Linked DNA regions of Caenorhabditis elegans. The protein of the gene in region 1 purifies or fractionates together with the protein of each later gene. This does not show direct contact. Each region holds a gene or a part of one and is shown in the gene's direction. Other genes may lie near its edges.

Region 1 (3,157 bases):
CAACGTTTATTCTCGTTCAGCGTTGGATGGTGGATGTCAGATATTATGGATAGTGCTTCAACTGCCTTAAAGCACAGTGAATTCCTCTGTTTAGAACCTGAAATAACGCTATTTGATCCCAAGTACCTAAAATCAATATGGTTATGTTTCTTAATTGAAAGGATGCTATTTGATTTTGAGTACTTGAAACAATATAAGTTTTGACAGGCTTGCAATAAGATGGGACTTTGATTTTTAGGTTTTTTTTAAATTCCAATCTCTAGCAACTTCTGTGCAAGTTTTTTAAATGGCCAATTGACAAGTCTCAAGCATCGACTTTGCAGACTTTTTTCTCCGTTAAATCTTTCCAATTGTCTCCGATCAGTTCTTTCACTAAAAGTAATTTATCTTAGAGGCCCGAATGCTACTGTTGTGAGGGCATCATTTGTTTGAGATACCAACTGCTACTGATTTAATGAGTCATTACAGAAAGCATCAAGTTTTTATTGCGATTCAAAGTTTATAGAAAACCAATAACCAACCATTAAGCTTATTACATTAAAAACAAAAAGAAAATGCGAAATGGAAATTTAGTTGAGGTATTGTCCGACCATGGCTTGAACCTTCTCGTCTGAAAATTAATATAATTATTAAATTGAAAATTATTAGAAGTTTATTAAACTCACTCTTGAAGAATCCGGTGAGGATTGGGAATTCCTTGGCGATGGAGTCCTTGGCATCTTGGGAAAGTCCCTTGTAGGCTTCGATGTGGCTGAAATGTTATCCTGACAGAGAAATTTGTAATTTTCTCGAAACTTACGTCTTGGCGGTGGTCTTGAGGGTGTCGAGGGATGGCTTCTCTCCGGCCAAGTATTGAGCGTGGATCTTACGTCCTTCAGCGATAGCCTTCTTGACGAAAGCCTTAGCCTCATCATTGAGAGCGTTGACCTTGTCCTTGACGATTTGGTGGAGCTTGGAGGCCTTCTCGTGGAGAGTTGGAGACTTTTCCTTGAGGGCGTTCAAGAACTGCAATTTAATATTTTGATTATTGGTCTAGAGTTTTCAATTTTCAGACTCACATCATCCTCGCTCTTGAAGTCCTTGTATCCCTTGGCGACCTCCTTAAGAATAGCCTTCTCTTCTGGGGTGATGGACTTAAGATGCTCGGAGACCTCGGCTGGGATAAGGGACTTGTATTCAGCTGGGATATCGTCATAGTTCTCTGGGACCTCCGGGACTGGAGCAGAGAAGGCGAGGGCAGCGACAGCGGCGAGGATGATAGTGGCACGGATCATTACTGAAAATTTGAAAGATTATGAGAATCGGGGATGTGACGAAGAAGAAGAAGAATAAGAAGAAGAAGAAAGCGAAATGAGACTGAAGTGTTGATTTCCATTGTTCTGAGCATCTTTTAAAGTCGAACAAAAAGAGGCGGACCACATGGTGACCCCAGAAGAATTACAATCAACTAGCGAGAGTGTAGTCCTTTGAGAGACTCAGAAAATGAGCAATTCAAATGGGCGGAGTCAGTGAGATAGAGCAGTTGCGAAGAATCAGCAGCAGCAAAGGGAATCGAAATAGAAATAGAAAAAAGAAACATTTTTTCCTAAACTTCATTACACTAAAAGTGGTTTTTTATAATAGAAATAAGGGAAAAATGAGGTCTGCGTCTCGAAGGGAACGTGATATTTCATCGGAACTCTCATGGTTCAACGCACTATTTCGTTGATGAAACGAGGTTCAAACATACATCATCCAAGGTCGTATAAAAGATCGGCTGGCGGAGCAGAATCGGCACAGCAGAAGCAGCTCAAAGCTTCATCTTCTACTTCGAAACTTTGCTAAATGGTTTCTTTTTTCTAGTTTACTGGTTCTTTAACTTTGATATCACCTTCTATTTCTATTTCACCTTAAAATTTCCCACCCCTAATTTAAAATATTGCAGTAATGATCCGCGCCTTCCTCGTCGTAGCCCTTGCCTCCGTGGCTGTCTTCTCTGCCCCAATCCCAGAGGTTCCACAGAACTTCGACGACATCCCAGCCGAGTACAAGGGACTCATCCCAGCTGAAGTTGCCGAGCACCTCAAGGCCATCACCGCTGAGGAGAAGGCTGCTCTTAAGGAACTCGCCCAAAACCACAAGGAATACAAGACCGAGGAAGAATTCAAGGCTGCTCTCAAGGAAAAGTCTCCATCCCTTTACGAGAAGGCTGGAAAGCTCGAGGCTCTCCTCACCGCTAAATTCGAGAAACTCGATGCCACCGCTCAGGCTCTTGTCAAGAAGATCATCGCCAAGGGACGTGAACTCCACCAACAATACCTCGCCGGAGATAAGCCAACTCTTGATTCTCTTAAGGAACTCGCCAAGGGATACATCGCTGAATACAAGGCTCTTTCTGATGACGCCAAGGCTACCATCACCGCTGAGTTCCCAATCCTCACTGGATTCTTCCAAAGTGAGTTTTAAAATTCTGAGATTTTTGAGCATTCAAATTGTTTAATTCAAACAATAATTTTATTATTTTCAGACGAAAAGATTCAAGCCATCGTCGGACAATACGTCAACTAAGAAGTAATAATTATGATATGGTTTTCCAATTATTTTCCCCCAAAATAAAGTATTTTAATTCAAATAACGATTGATTGTTCTCTAGAAAAGATGGAAAGAATTGAAGTTTGGTCGGTGAAATGAATCCCAAATGGCTACCACATGTCGGCTTCACGTAAAGCACATTTTCGAAACTTTCGAGTTGTCTTCACAAAGTTTATGGGTTTTGTTGTGGTTGTTGTGATTGTAAACAATATGGTTCCGAGGTCCATTGAGCAGTTGAAAGAATTGGGTACAAAGTGCAGGGTTACGGTAGCTTATTTGCCAACAACGTAATTCAGAAACTGGAAGGACAAGTTGCATAGTTTTTTGAAGTTTGAAAAGCGCAGGTAGGAAAACTTGATAATTTTTCAAAATTTCCAAAAGAGAATAAGTCAAAAACTAATAGGTTTTGCAAAAAAAATTTCTACATACAAAATATAGGTCATAACGTTTTCTTTGTTTTTGTTATTGACAATTTGTTATCAACTCTTCTTTGAAAAAAGTTAAAGCATTTGACATCTGGCGGCTTAATTTTTTCCAATCATTTTTGGAGCTTTCTGTAATTAACTGAATTTCATGGTATTTTCAA
Region 2 (3,756 bases), on another chromosome or scaffold:
ATTACAAATAATTCTAAAAGTTTTCGGTGGCATTAAGCGTAGAATAGCGCGATTGTGGAAAATTGATAAAAATCTATAGTGCCAAAATGGCCAAATAAAAATTGTTTCAAATTTCATGGTCTACCTATGTTTTAAATAATAATATTCAAACATTTTATTCGCTCGAACATGCGACTGTGCTATTTTTTCTCAAAAAGTGATAAAAACTTAGTAATTTTCACTTTTTGTGTGTCAATTTTTTGAATATGTGCAAAGAGTTTTTGAAACTTTTTACTATGATATTTGATAGTTTTGGTACTATAAGAGTGGTAGTTCAGAAAAATTACCCCACTGCCCCTACTCCACCATAGACTAATTTGCTAGTTAGAAACCAAAAATACAATGTTTCAAAAAATATGTTATAAAATACAAGAAAAATACAAGGTGTCAAAAACATACATTTTCTGAATAAGGGTAATTTTTTGACATTTTCGAAAATGTAATCTATATCTTTGATCTCATATGTTAATATCAAATTAATTAGACTAAAGTTTTGAAATTGATGATTAATTACTACATTTATTTTGTATTTCACAAAGATGTTCGTATTTCTTAGAATAACACTATTTTTTTGCAATAATTTAATTAGTGTGGACTGTTGTCACCACATTGAACACACTTTTCGTAATTTTTTTGCCTTGTTTATTATTATGTTCTTTGAAATTAATGTTTTATTTATTATTTAGAATCAATTTTTCAAATTCCCTTAATTGGATCCCCGCAACTGAACCAGACGGCCAATTGACACTGGCTTACAAGAATTTGAATGAAAACGTCTCGAAGATCATCAGCTGCATTCAAATGAAAAGAAAGAATATTTGTATTATTGTTTTGCGTTTTTACAATTGTGCCACCCAAATATTATTCGTATGCTCGCCCCGCTTGTCTTATTGCAGGGGCCACTGTGAGTGGATTTTTGGTGGAAACGAGCTTGTTGGAAAAAGATGATAGCCGATTGGCAAGGTGCCTCGGTAAATTGGAAACTATTACACAAATATCATTGATTTCTAAACATTGAATTTTGAAATTTAATATTTGTAGAAATATTAAAATGATTTGTTTACTTTAAATGGATCAATTTTAAAGAGCACTACGTTTTCATTTGCGCGTTAAAATATTTAAATAAAAGTGATGATTCATTGAAAATTCGTAATTATAAAATAAGTTTACCGTATTTTACCTAAATTTTAACAAAACTTTTTGAACCACATAAATATTTAACGCGTTTTTATTATTTTAAAGCTGACCAATTAGAATTAGTGTGCAGTGGAAGATACAAGAATAATAGGAAAATCACAGTAATTTCTAAAACATATTAACTACTTGTTAGAAATTTTTATCAATTGACCAGTATAAACTATGTTGTTTTTTTCAACTTGTCCAAACTCTTCATCATCATCTGTCTCTTGTTGGTCCCTTGTCTGTGTCAGCGTAGGAGGAAGAGATAGTGAAGTGCACATCTTGGTGATCGAGAGAGAAGCAGAGAAACCCGTTTCTCGAATCAATGTTGGTGATTCAAAAATATATTGAGCCTTCGGATCGAAACATGATGCCCTATTTCTACGATAGCACATCACAGAAGTCTGCGTATTCTGAGGAAACGCAGACTGCCCGCGGGAAGCCCCAGGCAGAGAGAAAGACGAGAGCCACACGAGGAGGGCACGGCTGCTCACTCTGCGTAGGTGTAAGGTTTACAGCACAGATTGTGTCCGTATGTTATACTTTTCTTTTCCCTGAGAGCTCCCGCTCCCGCCAGCCCCTCCCACTTATCTGCCAACGACGGCCTCCCGGAGCAAGCACTTTCATATCTCTTCATTGTCGATTTCAACATCCCACCGGCACATACTCAAATTTCCTTCTTCTTCTGTGTCATCACTTCTTATCAATATGTTTTGAGATTTTGAATTTTGAGAATTTAACTTTCATATAATTACAGAACCTAAACCTAACTAATCATGTCCGACGAGGAGGAGGTATAGTAAGTTATATACCTATCATTTTTCTAGACATTCTAATTTTTAATTTTTTAGCTCTGATGAGGAGGTCGAGGAGGAGGAGGTCGAGGAGACCGAAGAGGCCCCAGCTGAGGCTGAAGAGCCGTAAGTTTAAGCTTTGAATTCGTGATTTTTTGTATAACACTGAAATTGTAGAGAGGAGACCACCGAGGAAGTAGTCGCTCCACCAGAGGTCAAGGAGCGTCGTGCTCCAGTCCAAGAGGAGAAGCCACCAGCGGAGATGACTGAGGCTGAGATTGCCATGTTGGTGAGTATAACTTCTTGGGAGACCTTCCGTTTCATTCATAAAATTGTTAACCAAATTCATATCTAGGCCGCCAAGAAGCGTCACGAGGAAGAGGAAGCCGCTAAACTTCTCGATTACGAGCAGCGCCGTGTTCTTGAGAAGGAGCAAATCGAACAAGAGCTTCGTGAACTCAAGGAGAAGCAAGAGAAGCGCCGAGCTGAGCGTGAAGAGGACGAGCGTCAGTTCGCTGAACGTAGACGTCAAGATGACGAGCGCCGTCGCAAGGAAGAAGACGAACGCAAGGCTAAGGCTGATGCCGAGAAGATCCGCAAGAACGAGGAGAAGGTCCGTCGTCAACAAATGATGGCTGGAGCTTTCAACGGAAGAGTTGAAGCCGGAGCTGGACGCAACTTCACTGTCGCCTCCAAGGGAGACCAAGCTGCTCAATTCGGAAACTTGGCTCAGGTATTTTTATTGTATCATTTTTAAATCGAATACTAATTAAGAAACTTTCAGGCTAAGGGAGGAAAGGATGTCATGAGCAAGGAACAGATGGAGGATGCCAAGAGAAACTTCTTGGCCGCCGTCTGCCGTGTACAAGACGTCTCTGGACTTCTTCCAAACGATTTGAAGGAGAGAATCAGAGGCCTTCATGCTCGTATCGTCAAGCTCGAGGCTGAGAAGTACGACTTGGAGAAGAGACGTGAACGTCAAGACTATGACGTAAGTTTAAACTATTCAATGAGACTTATTTGATATTGTGTGTGACATTCAACCAAATTTCAATTACTTCAGATGAAAGAGTTACACGAGCGTCAACGTCAAGCCGCCCGTAACAAGGCTCTCAAGAAGGGACTTGACCCAGAGGAGGCTGCTTCCTCTGTCCATCCACCAAAGATCACCACCGCTTCTAAGTTCGACCGTCAAACCGACAGAAGATCTTACGGAGACCGTCGGTACTTGTTCGAGAACCCAGAAGAGGAGAAGCAGGCTTCCCTCGTCCGCGGAACCGGACGACCACCAGCAGAGTGGGGACGCAAGCAAAACGAAGAACTCGAGCAGATCCGCAAAAACTTGGAGCCACCAAAGTACGTTGAGCAGGTCAAGGTTGAGGGAGCCAGAGCACCAGTCGAGCCAGTCCCACTCTTCGTTCCAACTGATGACTTCGAGCCACAACAAGTCACCGAGGATCCAAATGTTGGAGAAGAGGTCGTTGTCGAATAAATTTCCTGTTTTTTACCTTTTTTCATTTCACAATTTTTTGATTATCAAATTTATTAAAATAAACCCAATCCCAACCAAAAAAAATCCATTTTCTAATATTCCAATCAAAACTTTTTGCATTTGTTTCCAATTTATTAACCAATTCTCCAATTCTTCAAGTACTCTGTTTCTGCATACTCTCCGGTTTGTGCTTATCAGTAAAGTCTTTATCATAAAAATTGCATTCCCATTCGAATTGTAAGCATTTCATGA
Region 3 (3,152 bases), 3.4 Mb from region 1:
TATAACATTTTTCTTGAATTTTAAATGAAAAAATCTTAATTTCTCAAAAATTTACAAACCTCCAAAGCTTCTTATATAAAGTACGCGTCCTGTTTCGAAATTCTCGGGCTTTACAGCAACTATGGCGATTGCCTCGCCGTTTCGTATTACAACTCCTGTTAATTCGTTATTCATACATTCTTGATAAAATTTGTCGCTGTACGACACCGGAAATATGCTTGAAACGAGGATTCGAACTGTTTTTATGTTTTCCGCAGTCACTCGTTGCAGTCGAAGTTCAAGAGAATTATCGGTTGATGGTGATGAATGTGATAAACATTCCTCTTCTTCCATTGCTGAAACTTTGTCTAAAACGTTGACTAGAACATGCGAAAATTCTAAAAATATTCACAGTTGAAAACTGGTTGGATTTTCAAATTCATTTGATTTCATTTTCAGAAAATTGTATTCATATCCACATTTGTACAGATAAATAAAATAATATTTAGTATCAAAAATTCAGAAAATCAATCCCTTGTCTGATTGAATGCTCGACCAACTGAAGATGTGAAGACGGGCGGTGCTTGTAGGGAAAATAGATCAAGAGGATTCCGTTCTGGAGCTCTGGATGGAGTTCTTTGTGGTTTTCTTGCTGGAGTTTGCAGTTCTTCATCGTCCAACTCATCAAAAGCCAGTTTTCGTCGTTCGTTGGATGTATTCACCATTGATATGTCTGAAATGGCATGTTTTTATTGCAAAGACAAACTAATTCAATTTACCATGTCCGTTTATCAAAGAATCATCAAGACTGTAGCTTTTGGTCTCCGGAATATTTTCTTTCTTTTCAGTCCTTCCTGTCATCACCAATGATGAAAATGTTGGTGGTTTCATTATGGAAGCCATTACAGAGACAAGCTCCGGTTGACGTCTCGCAGATTCACCGAGAACTGATCCTTGTTCGACTGATATTTGTGGCATTTCTGGCTTTGCAAAAACTATTTTTTCCACTTTCTCAACCACGGGATTCAGAAAATCAATGCTGCCAATCCGCAAATGCTCGTTTCGTTCTGAATTTTTCTATTTTTTCGTGAAAAAATTATTGCAACTCACCTTTAGTCTCCACAATAGCTTTATCAAACGTTGTCCCCAACTGTTTCAGTTTTCCAGCGAGCGCACATTTCTTGTTCTTCAATTGCAGCTCGAGTTTCATAATTTCTACATGATCCGCCACATAGCTCTCCATTTCCTGCGTCAGTCTCATTCGCATGTCCACATCCAATTGTGCAAGAGTCTGAAATTCATGTAAATAATTTAAATGGACTGAAAGCTCGACAACTTGCCTTGTACTGTGAGAGTGTCAGCTTTTGAAGTAATTCTGGAGATTGGTTGCATCGAACGTCTTTTAGCTTCTCCAAAAAGTAAATAAGAACATGTTCCAGCGTTTCGTTAGCCATTTGACTCCTTTATTTGCCTGAAAAATGCTAATGAATGTTTGATGAAGACTGAGAAAATACAGAAAACTGTTGAAATTCAAAGCTTCCCGCGTGCAAGTCTCCGTAAATCGACAAATGGCAAGCGCGCTCTATAGCACATTTCACTGTGCCGCGACTCAAAGACATGCTGCGGAGTGATACAGAAACATTTCATGCTTCCCTCTTTTCCGTTGATTTTCCCAATTTTTTCTTTTCTTTTTTTCTTTTTCTCAAATCTTGAAATATATTTTGTGAAAACAATATTAACGAGTCGAAATTTCTAATTTTCAGGTAAGCATCAAGGACTCTTGCTGCAAACAACAATGTCTGACGCAGGAGGGTAGGTTATTTTTGTTTTTTTCTGAAAAATCTTGCACCTACCAATTATATCGGAAGATTTTGAAGTCATAGTTTTCCTATCGTAGTGTGCAATAAAAACCGTTCTACTGCCACACGGGTACTGGCCTTGAAGCTGTATCGGTTCCAAAGTTGTTCGAACAATTAGATTCCTTGTCTTAAAAGCAAAATTAAGTTTTTATGAAGGCTATTAAAATATTGGATAATTTTAGAGATGTTCAAGTGGCCCCAGCCGCCGTCGCCCAGGGACCAATGGACAAGGAAGGAGCTTTGAGAGCTGTTCTTCGCGCTGCCCACCACGCTGATGGACTCGCCAAGGGACTCCACGAGACCTGCAAGGCTCTTGACAAGTAAGTAATTGATATTTTAGTTTGTATTTTAGTTCCACTTATTTTTCAACGTCGCCGGTTCTAGAATCGATGTGACCCCAATAAGCTGGTAGATAAGTTGTTACTCTGCCACACGTGTACTGGTATCATGCTGTATGTGTTCCAAAGATTTTACAAACAATTTTCAGGCGTGAGGCTCACTTCTGTGTCCTCGCCGAGAACTGCGACGAGCCACAATACGTCAAGCTTGTCGAGACCCTCTGCGCCGAGCACCAGATTCCACTCATTAAGGTCGCCGATAAGAAGATCATCGGAGAGTACTGCGGACTCTGCAAGTACGATAAGGAAGGAAAGGCCCGCAAGGTCGTTGGATGCTCATCCGCCGTTGTCACCAACTGGGGAAATGAGGAGCAAGGACGTGCCATCCTCACCGACTACTTTGCCTCCAAGAACTAATCTGTTCGTTGTTCCAATAAATTGTTATTGTTCCCTATTTGTTCGTCTTTAATTACAAAATGGTACACATTCACAAGTTGTTGGGATAATATTTTCGGGAGCAGAAAGTATAGGAAAGGTTCTGCAATATATCACGCCGGTGAATTTTTATTTCGGTATGAATAACGTATGCATAGAGAGACGTAGCGCAGAAACTATTGCCAACGCGCAAAAAGATCGATACCCCCTTTTCAAAAGCCGTGAACGTAGTCGCGGTTCAGGCTTTCCCCAATGGACAATCTGAACAAATGCCTATCTGATTTAGATCTCAATTTCCCTTTATTTGCGCACTTTCCACCCACTCTTTCAAATGACTGCAGCTCAAATACATTCTGATTGTAGTGTTCATATGCTGCCACGTCATGTCAAAGAGGATGTAGAACCAATTCATCTGTTAGGGTTTAATATTGCCAGAAAGTGAGTTTTAATTTTCAATTTTAAAGCGGAATTTCAAAAGCGATAAAATCGAGAATACATTATGAAATCTCGAGCCGATTTAATTTGTGAATTCATGATTTTC

Evidence for each region.
Region 2: the proteins of far-2 (region 1) and mup-2 fractionate together in Caenorhabditis elegans (co-fractionation; one large-scale study listed by BioGRID). This does not show direct contact.
Region 3: the proteins of far-2 (region 1) and rps-12 fractionate together in Caenorhabditis elegans (co-fractionation; one large-scale study listed by BioGRID). This does not show direct contact.

The regions. Positions count from the first base shown.
Region 1 is NC_003281.10:9,079,904-9,083,060, forward strand, and holds far-2 (Fatty-acid and retinol-binding protein 2), read left to right. Parts: upstream 1-1,924; 5' UTR 1,925-1,926; coding exon 1,927-2,434; intron 2,435-2,506; coding exon 2,507-2,547; 3' UTR 2,548-2,608; downstream 2,609-3,157. Other genes in the region: far-1 (Fatty-acid and retinol-binding protein 1), read right to left, coding at 570-610, 666-751, 800-1,005, 1,059-1,274. UniProt on the Caenorhabditis elegans protein: Probably binds lipids.
Region 2 is NC_003284.9:6,408,447-6,412,202, reverse strand, and holds mup-2 (Troponin T), read left to right. Parts: upstream 1-1,975; 5' UTR 1,976-1,994; coding exon 1,995-2,017; intron 2,018-2,069; coding exon 2,070-2,138; intron 2,139-2,189; coding exon 2,190-2,301; intron 2,302-2,367; coding exon 2,368-2,745; intron 2,746-2,796; coding exon 2,797-3,003; intron 3,004-3,075; coding exon 3,076-3,504; 3' UTR 3,505-3,732; downstream 3,733-3,756. UniProt on the Caenorhabditis elegans protein: Troponin T is the tropomyosin-binding subunit of troponin, the thin filament regulatory complex which confers calcium-sensitivity to muscle actomyosin ATPase activity.
Region 3 is NC_003281.10:5,677,556-5,680,707, forward strand, and holds rps-12 (Small ribosomal subunit protein eS12), read left to right. Parts: upstream 1-1,742; 5' UTR 1,743-1,774; coding exon 1,775-1,791; intron 1,792-1,822; exon of another isoform or gene 1,823-1,954; intron 1,955-2,020; coding exon 2,021-2,158; intron 2,159-2,189; exon of another isoform or gene 2,190-2,320; intron 2,321-2,325; coding exon 2,326-2,593; 3' UTR 2,594-2,632; downstream 2,633-3,152. Other genes in the region: F54E7.9 (N-terminal methionine N(alpha)-acetyltransferase NatE), read right to left, coding at 60-333; ska-3 (Spindle and Kinetochore-Associated protein homolog), read right to left, coding at 507-712, 759-1,046, 1,090-1,270, 1,320-1,433; pst-2 (Adenosine 3'-phospho 5'-phosphosulfate transporter 2), read left to right, coding at 2,943-3,049. UniProt on the Caenorhabditis elegans protein: Part of the small subunit (SSU) processome, first precursor of the small eukaryotic ribosomal subunit.